Linked DNA regions of Tribolium castaneum. The protein of the gene in region 1 purifies or fractionates together with the protein of each later gene. This does not show direct contact. Links are inferred from orthologs where the notes say so. Each region holds a gene or a part of one and is shown on either strand. Other genes may lie near its edges.

What was found. The genes of interacting proteins can lie anywhere in the genome.
Region 2: the proteins of Myd88 (region 1) and pll purify together in Drosophila melanogaster (affinity purification with western blotting; 4 studies listed by BioGRID). This does not show direct contact. The link is inferred for Tribolium castaneum from reciprocal best matches to the Drosophila melanogaster genes Myd88 and pll.

Annotation. Positions count from the first base shown.
Region 1 is NC_087394.1:36,805,386-36,809,456, reverse strand, and holds Myd88 (myeloid differentiation primary response protein MyD88), read right to left. Parts: upstream 2,583-4,071; 5' UTR 2,385-2,582; intron 2,330-2,384; exon of another isoform or gene 2,327-2,329; 5' UTR 2,317-2,326; coding exon 2,195-2,316; intron 2,147-2,194; coding exon 1,947-2,146; intron 1,891-1,946; coding exon 1,507-1,890; intron 1,453-1,506; coding exon 1,284-1,452; intron 902-1,283; coding exon 574-901; 3' UTR 510-573; downstream 1-509. Other genes in the region: syd (JNK-interacting protein 3), read right to left, coding at 19-243; mle (dosage compensation regulator), read right to left, coding at 3,183-3,473, 3,533-3,691, 3,747-4,071.
Region 2 is NC_087401.1:17,599,796-17,603,968, reverse strand, and holds pll (serine/threonine-protein kinase pelle), read left to right. Parts: upstream 1-1,337; 5' UTR 1,338-1,515; intron 1,516-1,576; 5' UTR 1,577-2,407; coding exon 2,408-2,527; intron 2,528-2,587; coding exon 2,588-3,165; intron 3,166-3,218; coding exon 3,219-3,852; 3' UTR 3,853-3,875; downstream 3,876-4,173. UniProt on the Drosophila melanogaster protein: Plays an essential role in the Tl receptor signaling pathway that establishes embryonic dorsoventral polarity; the signal directs import of dl into ventral and ventrolateral nuclei, thereby establishing dorsoventral polarity.

The DNA of each region.
Region 1 (4,071 bases):
TAAAATTGAGTCAAGTACCTGGTTCTGTTGATACGCCGCGTCCAAACACTCCAGCACGTTCACCAGCAGGGGCATGAGGGTCTTGACGACGTCTTCGTCGTAGCGTGCGATCATTCGTTCGAACTCCTGGTAGATGCTACCAGCCAACGATTGCACCTTCTCCGACATCACCACATGGGAGTCCTCGTGCGTCCCGTAGATGGTCTCGGGTCCAAGACCACCGCCGGAGTCAGCCAAATCCATTATTTAACCAACTATTCAACCTACTTTTGCCCAATCAAGAATAGCACATTGTCACTTGAGGGAACATTGTGTTGTGATGATTTTACAACGTGGGGCACATTCTGGGGGCACTGGTGATGGAAAAGTGTGCGATTTTTTGTTACACCCACTGTTTATGATGACAAAAATCGGGCTGGAGGAACAACTGTCATTTTTGCCACTGCTTTGTTGCCAAATCATATTTTGCGCAGTAACTAGGGTTTGGTGACAAAATGAAAATCCCCACAACAAATTCAATCATATTTATTAAAAATAATTGCACTTATTTACACAAATCACAAATAAAATGCATCAGTTCGCGACGGCTGTGGCTCGCTTCAAGTGTTTCTTCAATCCTTTGCTTCCTTTTTCCGCCTTGGATGAGCAATCTTTATCTCGCTTGAAATGGCCTTTGATTTTTTTCAACAAAGTGGTTTTCTTCTCTTTTTTCTGTTCCGAACACGATTCTAAATTGTCGGCACTTGTACTGGGATTGAGCGGTGGTTCGCTTATAGCCTCTGTGCTTTTCAAATCACCTACACTACTGCTAAATTTTACGCCGTGATTTAACGGTCTGAGACCGATAGGGTCCCTCTGATGTAAAGCGGACCTCAACACTTGACCATTGTCGGATTGGGACCTGCAATTACACTCGCATTGAATTAATTGAACTCTAATCGAAGTGGTCTATGACTGAAATTAAGTTGCCAACACTGAACTTAAGTCGTTTGAGTATTTCCCCGAACATTCTGTTCAATAATTATGTAGTAAATGGTAAATTGAATCCAGAAATCGCCGAAATGATTAGAAAATGGGTTTATTTTTTACTTTTTCGAACATTCAACACAAAAATATGCAAAAAATTGCAGGAAATCAACCCAAAAATCAAATATTTAGTGTGTTAGTGAAAAAACAGCCTTACCTTAAAAACAGACGATAGCAAATGTTACCAACTTAATTTCAGTCAAAGTCTACTTGATCAAAAATTTTATTCAAAGTAACAAAAATCAAGTAGGCAATACCTGTTAACTTTGAATTTTTCCGCACTGACCACTCTGATCGAATCACGTAACTTATCCCACACATTGAAAGCAGCCATTCGTTGAAAATCCAAAGTGAAGAGACACTTCATATGTGGCGGATTCGTTGTTAGATTTTTATAAATGCAAGGAATAATTTTCCTTTGACTTTCTGTGTAAAAACAACAATTAAACATAAAAAATGCATGTTTTTAACTGTTGTTACCAATTCCATAAGCGTGTGCAAAACTTAAATAATACTCATTGGCTGAGCTTTTAAAAAACGAATCTGAAAGAATAACAACCAAACGGTTACACCGATGTGTTATTAATTTAATCATTTTGTCCATTTCTAAGCCACCTCCGACCAAATCGCGGTCTTTAACGCAGAACTTCATTCCATATTCCTTCTCCATTCTGTCCAACAATTCTATGGCAAATTCAATATCATCATGGTCGTACAATAAAAACGCATCGTAAATTTCCAAATCCCGGCCTTCATTAATCCTTATCACGTCATCTGTTGTAATAATGTATTTATCAGCTTCGGAATAGAGAGGCTTGAGTTCATAGCCTTGTGGATTGGCTTTGTACAATTTAATGTCCTCATCTACAAAACAACAAAATTCGCACAAATTAATCGAAATCATAGTGAAATTAATTTACCGATCAAATCCAAGACATCGTCCGCAACATCAAACCGGTCCATCTCTTCTAAAAATAACAACAATTGTTGTACAGTACAACGTTGGGGGTCTTTTTCATACCACAACTGTAACACTTTATCTGTGGGGTTTGAATCGTTGACAAGACTCGCCTCATAATTGGGGCTAATCTGGCACAGGCCAGCCAAACCTCTCCAATACCTAAGCCCCCCAATCAACAAACTGTAACTATACTAAAACTGTACTCACCGGAGCACCCCATTAGGGCCTGGCATGAACATCTGGGGGTTCAACAGGTCGCATAACAGTGCCTTGGTTTTGGGCCTCAAGACTGTTATGGGGACTTCCCGCGATTCGCCCGCAGCCTCCATTCTACACTAACTACTAAAATATCCAATTTTGAGTTTTTGTCAAGGACTTACTAACACTTTTTGCTTACAAAATCATCTTTTAGGGCGATGAAAATAAATGGGCATCTTAATTGATTGACAGTTGACGTAATTGACATAACGAACGTTGCCAATTTTATGACGTGACCTTGGATTGGGGCAAAAATAACTCAATCTTACCGAAATTGATGGTTTTGAGGCTGTTTTCACACCAGCTGGTTTAATTAAAGGGAATACCATTGCTAAGAGTTGAGATTTTGGTGTTTGCACTATTACGTGATAGTGATATGCAGGCAACCAATTATACGTCAATACGAGACAGATTTTTTTTATGATTTTATTTGAACTTTTTTCTATTCAACATGTTTTGTTGAAGCATTCTAGTAATATAATTAAGGGAGAGGTCAATTTCAACCGCACCACCAATCAAATTAGCAACTATCAGAGCAATTAAATTGACTTGGTAACGTTGGGTAGGTAAATGATCAGAAACAGAGGGGAGTGTTACAGGCCCTGTGGCGCAACGGATAACGCGTCTGACTACGGATCAGAAGATTCCAGGTTCGAATCCTGGCAGGGTCGTCACATTTTTTATATTTAAGCGTAAGCTTTAAGTTGTTAGTTTCCTAGAGTTGTGTTAGTTTTTACGGTAGTAGTCATTTAGCCAAATCTTCAAATTTAAATTTTATTAACAAACTCAACAAAAAATATATATTGTTTTGTTCTTTGTAGTGAATCTAGTGAGCCAAGGCCTCAAGTTCGAGAAGAAAAAACTAATATTTATTTTGTTAAAATTTTTAATTTTTGAATACCGAGATGATCAAACACATTTATGTCTACCGATACAATTAATAATTACTATAGCCTCTGAAACCACGACCTCTTGGAAATCCGCCCCTGCCTCTGAAACCCCCTCTTCCCCCAAATCCATGGCCCCCATCAAAACCCCCTCGAAAACCACCCCGATTATCTCCAAAGCCCCCTCGAGACCCCCCTCTGAAAAACTTTGGTGGTGGTCCTTGAAAACCCAAAGAGTGCCCCCTTGGTGGACGCCTCGATTGTTGCATTTGGGGTCTAGCCCTCTCGATTTGGTAACTCCCAGCGTGCAACTTGCACAGCTCTTTAATTGTTGCAACAAACTGCAAAAAGCCAAATATAGCGCTCGAAAAATTTAAGTCTAGATATTTTTATGAATTACTTTGAGATCTCCTGGTGACATTTCGAGTATTTGTTCCGGTTCTTGCGACGCCCGAACAACTAAACTTTCCAGGGCCGGCCTTAGGGCCACAATAAGGGCCGCCACTTCTGGGTCCATATTCAAATTAATCCAATTATCAAGTCGCACAACACCATCAACCTAAACAAAATCAAATCAACTCACACTTGCAATTCAATTGTTTAGTTTGAATTACCCAATCAATTTTTCTCGAACCAAACAATAACAAATGAATCGGCGTCACCATACTCATTTGTTTACACGAAACGGCCCTTGTCCGTATTTTCTCCCCAAAAACAAAAAATGGATACGGGAACGTTTGTTCAAAGTTACTGCAATTGACTGATGTTTTATGTATCAAGGCGGCCTTGCTCTCGGTTGTCAAAACTTTTCGTTTCTCTTTGTGATAACAAACATTTGGATAAAGACCATAACACATTAATGCCATCACAACGTCCAATTTCGGATCAGGGCCAACTGTATCCATAGGAATCGGTGATAAAGTCTCTTCGGGGAAACCC
Region 2 (4,173 bases), on another chromosome or scaffold:
TGTCGATTTTGGGTACCCGGAACATTTGTTGAGCAATAGCTCCGGAACTATCAGAGATAACCCCATGAAGTTTATTATCGTTGGAAAGCTCTTTGAATTATCTATTTTTTTCAAAAAAAATTATTGTTCTCGATAACTCTAATAGTTTCGCCGTAATCGGTAGTCAAAAATTGAAAAAAAGTGAAAATGGAAACCTTTTTTTGCGTTTTTCTCGGAAACTGTAAGACTTAGAGCAACGAACAAAAAACTATCTGATAGCGTTTTCTCTATTTTTGCCGATATCTTCTGAACGATTTTTGCAGATTTGGATTCCGCTACGTTAGAAACACTACGTTACGTTAGAAAAACTTAATCATAAGAAAATTCTCGTGAAAAGTTGGTATAATACAGAAAATGAGCCGCTGAATTCAATGGAACAAACCGCATTGCTCTACGACTTTTAGTTTTCGAGTTATGAATTTTTTTGTTGAATAAAACTTTTCACAAAAAATTTTAAATTTTTAATTTTTGTGAAAAATTGATATAATATGTAAAATGAGCTGTAGAATTCAATGGAACAAACCGCAGTGCTCTACGACTTTTAGTTTTTTTTATGAATTTTATTAGTAAAAATCTTTGATCGCCTCTGTAGCCGGAACCGTTGCCCGGAGCGGCTCCGGGTTTAAACAAAAAAATAGAGAAAATTAAGCGCTATCAGATGATTTTTTGTTCGTTGCTCTAAGTCTTATAGTTTCTGAGAAAAACGCAAAAAAAGGTTTCCATTTTCGCTTTTTTTCAATTTTCAACCGCCAATTACAGCCAAACTATTTGAGTTATCAAAAAAACGAAAAAATCGAGAACAACCGGAATAAAAAGCTCTACAAAATAGCATAAGACTCAAGGCGATATCTCGCAAAAAAAATTTCAATTTTCAAACGCCGATTACGGCCAAACTAAAAGAGCTAGGAGAAAACGCTTTTTTAGATCGGAAAGAGCACATCAAAATCTATAAGATAGAATCGGTTTTATTTGATTTAGAGACACTTTAAAAATTTACCGATTTTAAGGGGGGGTGTTAACTTTTTTTTATTTTTTTTTTATTTTCTCATTTCTGGCTAAACTATTCTAAAAAGTGAAACTATTTTGTTTCATACCTATGCAAAATGATCCGGGGAATCGATTGGCATCAAGAAAATTGCCAAATTCCCAATAGTTTTTTAGTTATGAGTTTTTGAGCATATGATCTAATTTTTGCTTTTATTTGCATTTTCTCGAAAACTATTAGTCGGACAACAATATTTTTTTTTGCAAAAGATAGATAATTTAAAGACCGGCACTCAATAGTTTGACAATATTTTTTTGACAACCACCACCACGAAAATGTCATTTATAAGTGGCAAATTCAAACCGTGGGATTTTAAAGGAAAATTACAAAGTTTGACATGTAGTGATTTAGTGAGAATAATGATTTTTCGAAAATGTTGTTTTTGTGTGCCTTTACGGTGTGGTGCTGCTATGTTACTTGTCCTCCAAATGGCATGTTTGACGCCTTATACGATATACAATCCCACCGCAAAACTAATTTTCATCTCAATAGGAATCATGATCCTTTTGGCAACAGCTGCAGTGATATTTATGTGGGCTATTGTATGGGAAAAACCTAAATATCTTTATGCAACACTTGGATTATCACTGGGATCCATCATTTTTTATTTTGCCACAATAGATTACGACTATTCTTTTAAGACATCAACAACACCCACAACAAAGAAAGAAGGAACTGTTCATTTAATCCTCTTGATTAATAACACCACAGGAATATTAACATATTTTTATTTTATTTTTATGTTATACAATACATATGTTAAGTTACAACATAAAGCTAGAAAAAAACAACAATCTACTGTACTACCACAATAAACCATTTGTTAATGTGTCCGGTTTTGTCTTTTTACCACGGTCGGACTTTGCCTTGAGTTGCGTGAGTTAAAATCCATGTATTTTTCGGGTCTTTAACCATTGACATTTGTTTATGTCTACCGTGAGTTTTACAAAGGACATAAAGACGTTGCTCTCGCATCACAAAATAGCAGTCTTTACAACGTCTATGCAGCTTTCCTTTTACTTTGAAACCACAACACTGTGTTTGGTTGTAATTCACAGCGGCTAAAAGTTTGCTCGGTGATGTTGCAATCGACGGCGTAAATATGTGATAATTCTTGGAAGTTGCAACAACAACAAAGGGGCACTTTCTAATCACATTAATTACATTTCGAATGAGTGGAAACATTTTGTGAAAGATGAGGTTAGAAAACCGCTTAGGGATTTATCATTAGAAAAGTTACTAGGATTGGTGACAGACACTGCTGACTGTCACTGCTTGTCAATGTAACATAACCCAATTTTTTTATTGTTATTTTTTTTAACGATGTTTATTTACGATATGCCGTTTCTCGAACGTAAAAAACTCTGTAGTATTTTGGATCGGAATAATTGCTTTGAGGAATTAGCTGCGGTTCATATGCAATTTGATTCTGAGACGGTCCAAGTGAGTAAATTCGTATTTACTCTAAAGATACCTAATTAGCTTTACCTAATCCATTTTCAGAAAATTAGTCGCGAATTTTTCAGAGGCATTTCCCCAACTGAAAAACTCCTCGACTTATGGAGTCATCACAACCATACCGTTTTTGAATTGTTTATTCTCTTGTATCGAATGAAACATTATCAAGCCATGACAATCCTTAAACCACTTGTCGATTCAAAATATCATCATTTGATTAAACAAAGTACTTGTCTTCCTGAATTAATGGCCGATTTAAAATTAGAACAAGAGCCAATAACAAGTGAAAAAATACTAAACGCTCCAAGTTGTGAAAACAATGAAACAAAGCCCCAAAAACCAAACGGAATCTCGCTTATTTCTTGTGTGACGGAATCTGTGGGAGCTGTTCCTCAAATTCCCTATGATGATTTAAGACAGTCAACAAATGATTGGAACACTGGATCGATTCTGGGTCGTGGAGGCTTTGGGACGGTATTTAAGGGTGTTTGGAAGTGCACTCAAGTTGCTATTAAAAGAATTGAGAAAAAAGCGGATGACAATTCGGATCAAATTTTTCAATCCTATACAGAATTACATTGTTTGAATGCATACAGACACGATAACATTTTGCCACTTTACGGGTACGTATAAACCAATTCAAATTAGACATGAAATATTTATTATTTTTATTCAGGTATAGCATTGACGGACCTCAGCATTGTTTGGTATACCAATACATGTCCGGGGGTTCCCTCGAGCACCGTCTCCACATTCGTGATGCGTCACGTGTCCTTTCATGGCCAACTCGTCTCACAATCGCAATTGGAACCGCTCGAGGTCTTCAATTTCTACACACAATTCGTGACAAACCGCTTATTCATGGCGACATCAAGTCTGCCAACATTCTTCTCGACCTAAACGAAATCCCTAGAATTGGGGATTTTGGTTTAGCTCGTGAAGGGCCACCACAAACCGATTATGTTAAAGTGAGTCGTATTCATGGAACGAGGCCGTATCTTCCTGACGAATTTATGAAATATAAAAAATTTTCGACCAAAGTTGATACTTACAGTTTTGGAGTTGTTTTATTCGAATTGGCGACAGCTGGAGCTGCTTATTCAAATAAAAGGGTGAACAAGTTTTTGAGAGATCATGTCGTGTTTTGGGAAGGTGATGTGTTACAATTGAAAGATTCAAGGGCTGAAGGAGGAGAAGATTTTTTTAAGGGATTAGTGGAAGTTGGAAAAGGGTGTGTGAGGACGGGGGCAAAGGACCGACCGGAAATGGTTACGGTTTTATTGCAATTAGAAGCTGTGATGAATCAATAAATTTTTACATACATTTTTTACAATTGTTTCATTTCTCTAATCAACATTTTCCGTCAATTACTTTTATAATTTACGGCTATTGATAATCGCATTCTACACAAGGTTACAAGGTTATTCATTTCGACTAATTTTATCAGAAAAAAAGCAATGTGACAGTTGATCGGTTTTGTGGACACTACTACAATTCAAGGATTTCTTTATTGTATAATAATTAGTTTTCAAGTTTTCATTAACAAATAAGGTTTGTTAAATCTGCTGTTGGCTTTTAATTTTTGTCATTGCAGAAGAAAACATTTTGAGAGTCACTGGTCGACGACGCCT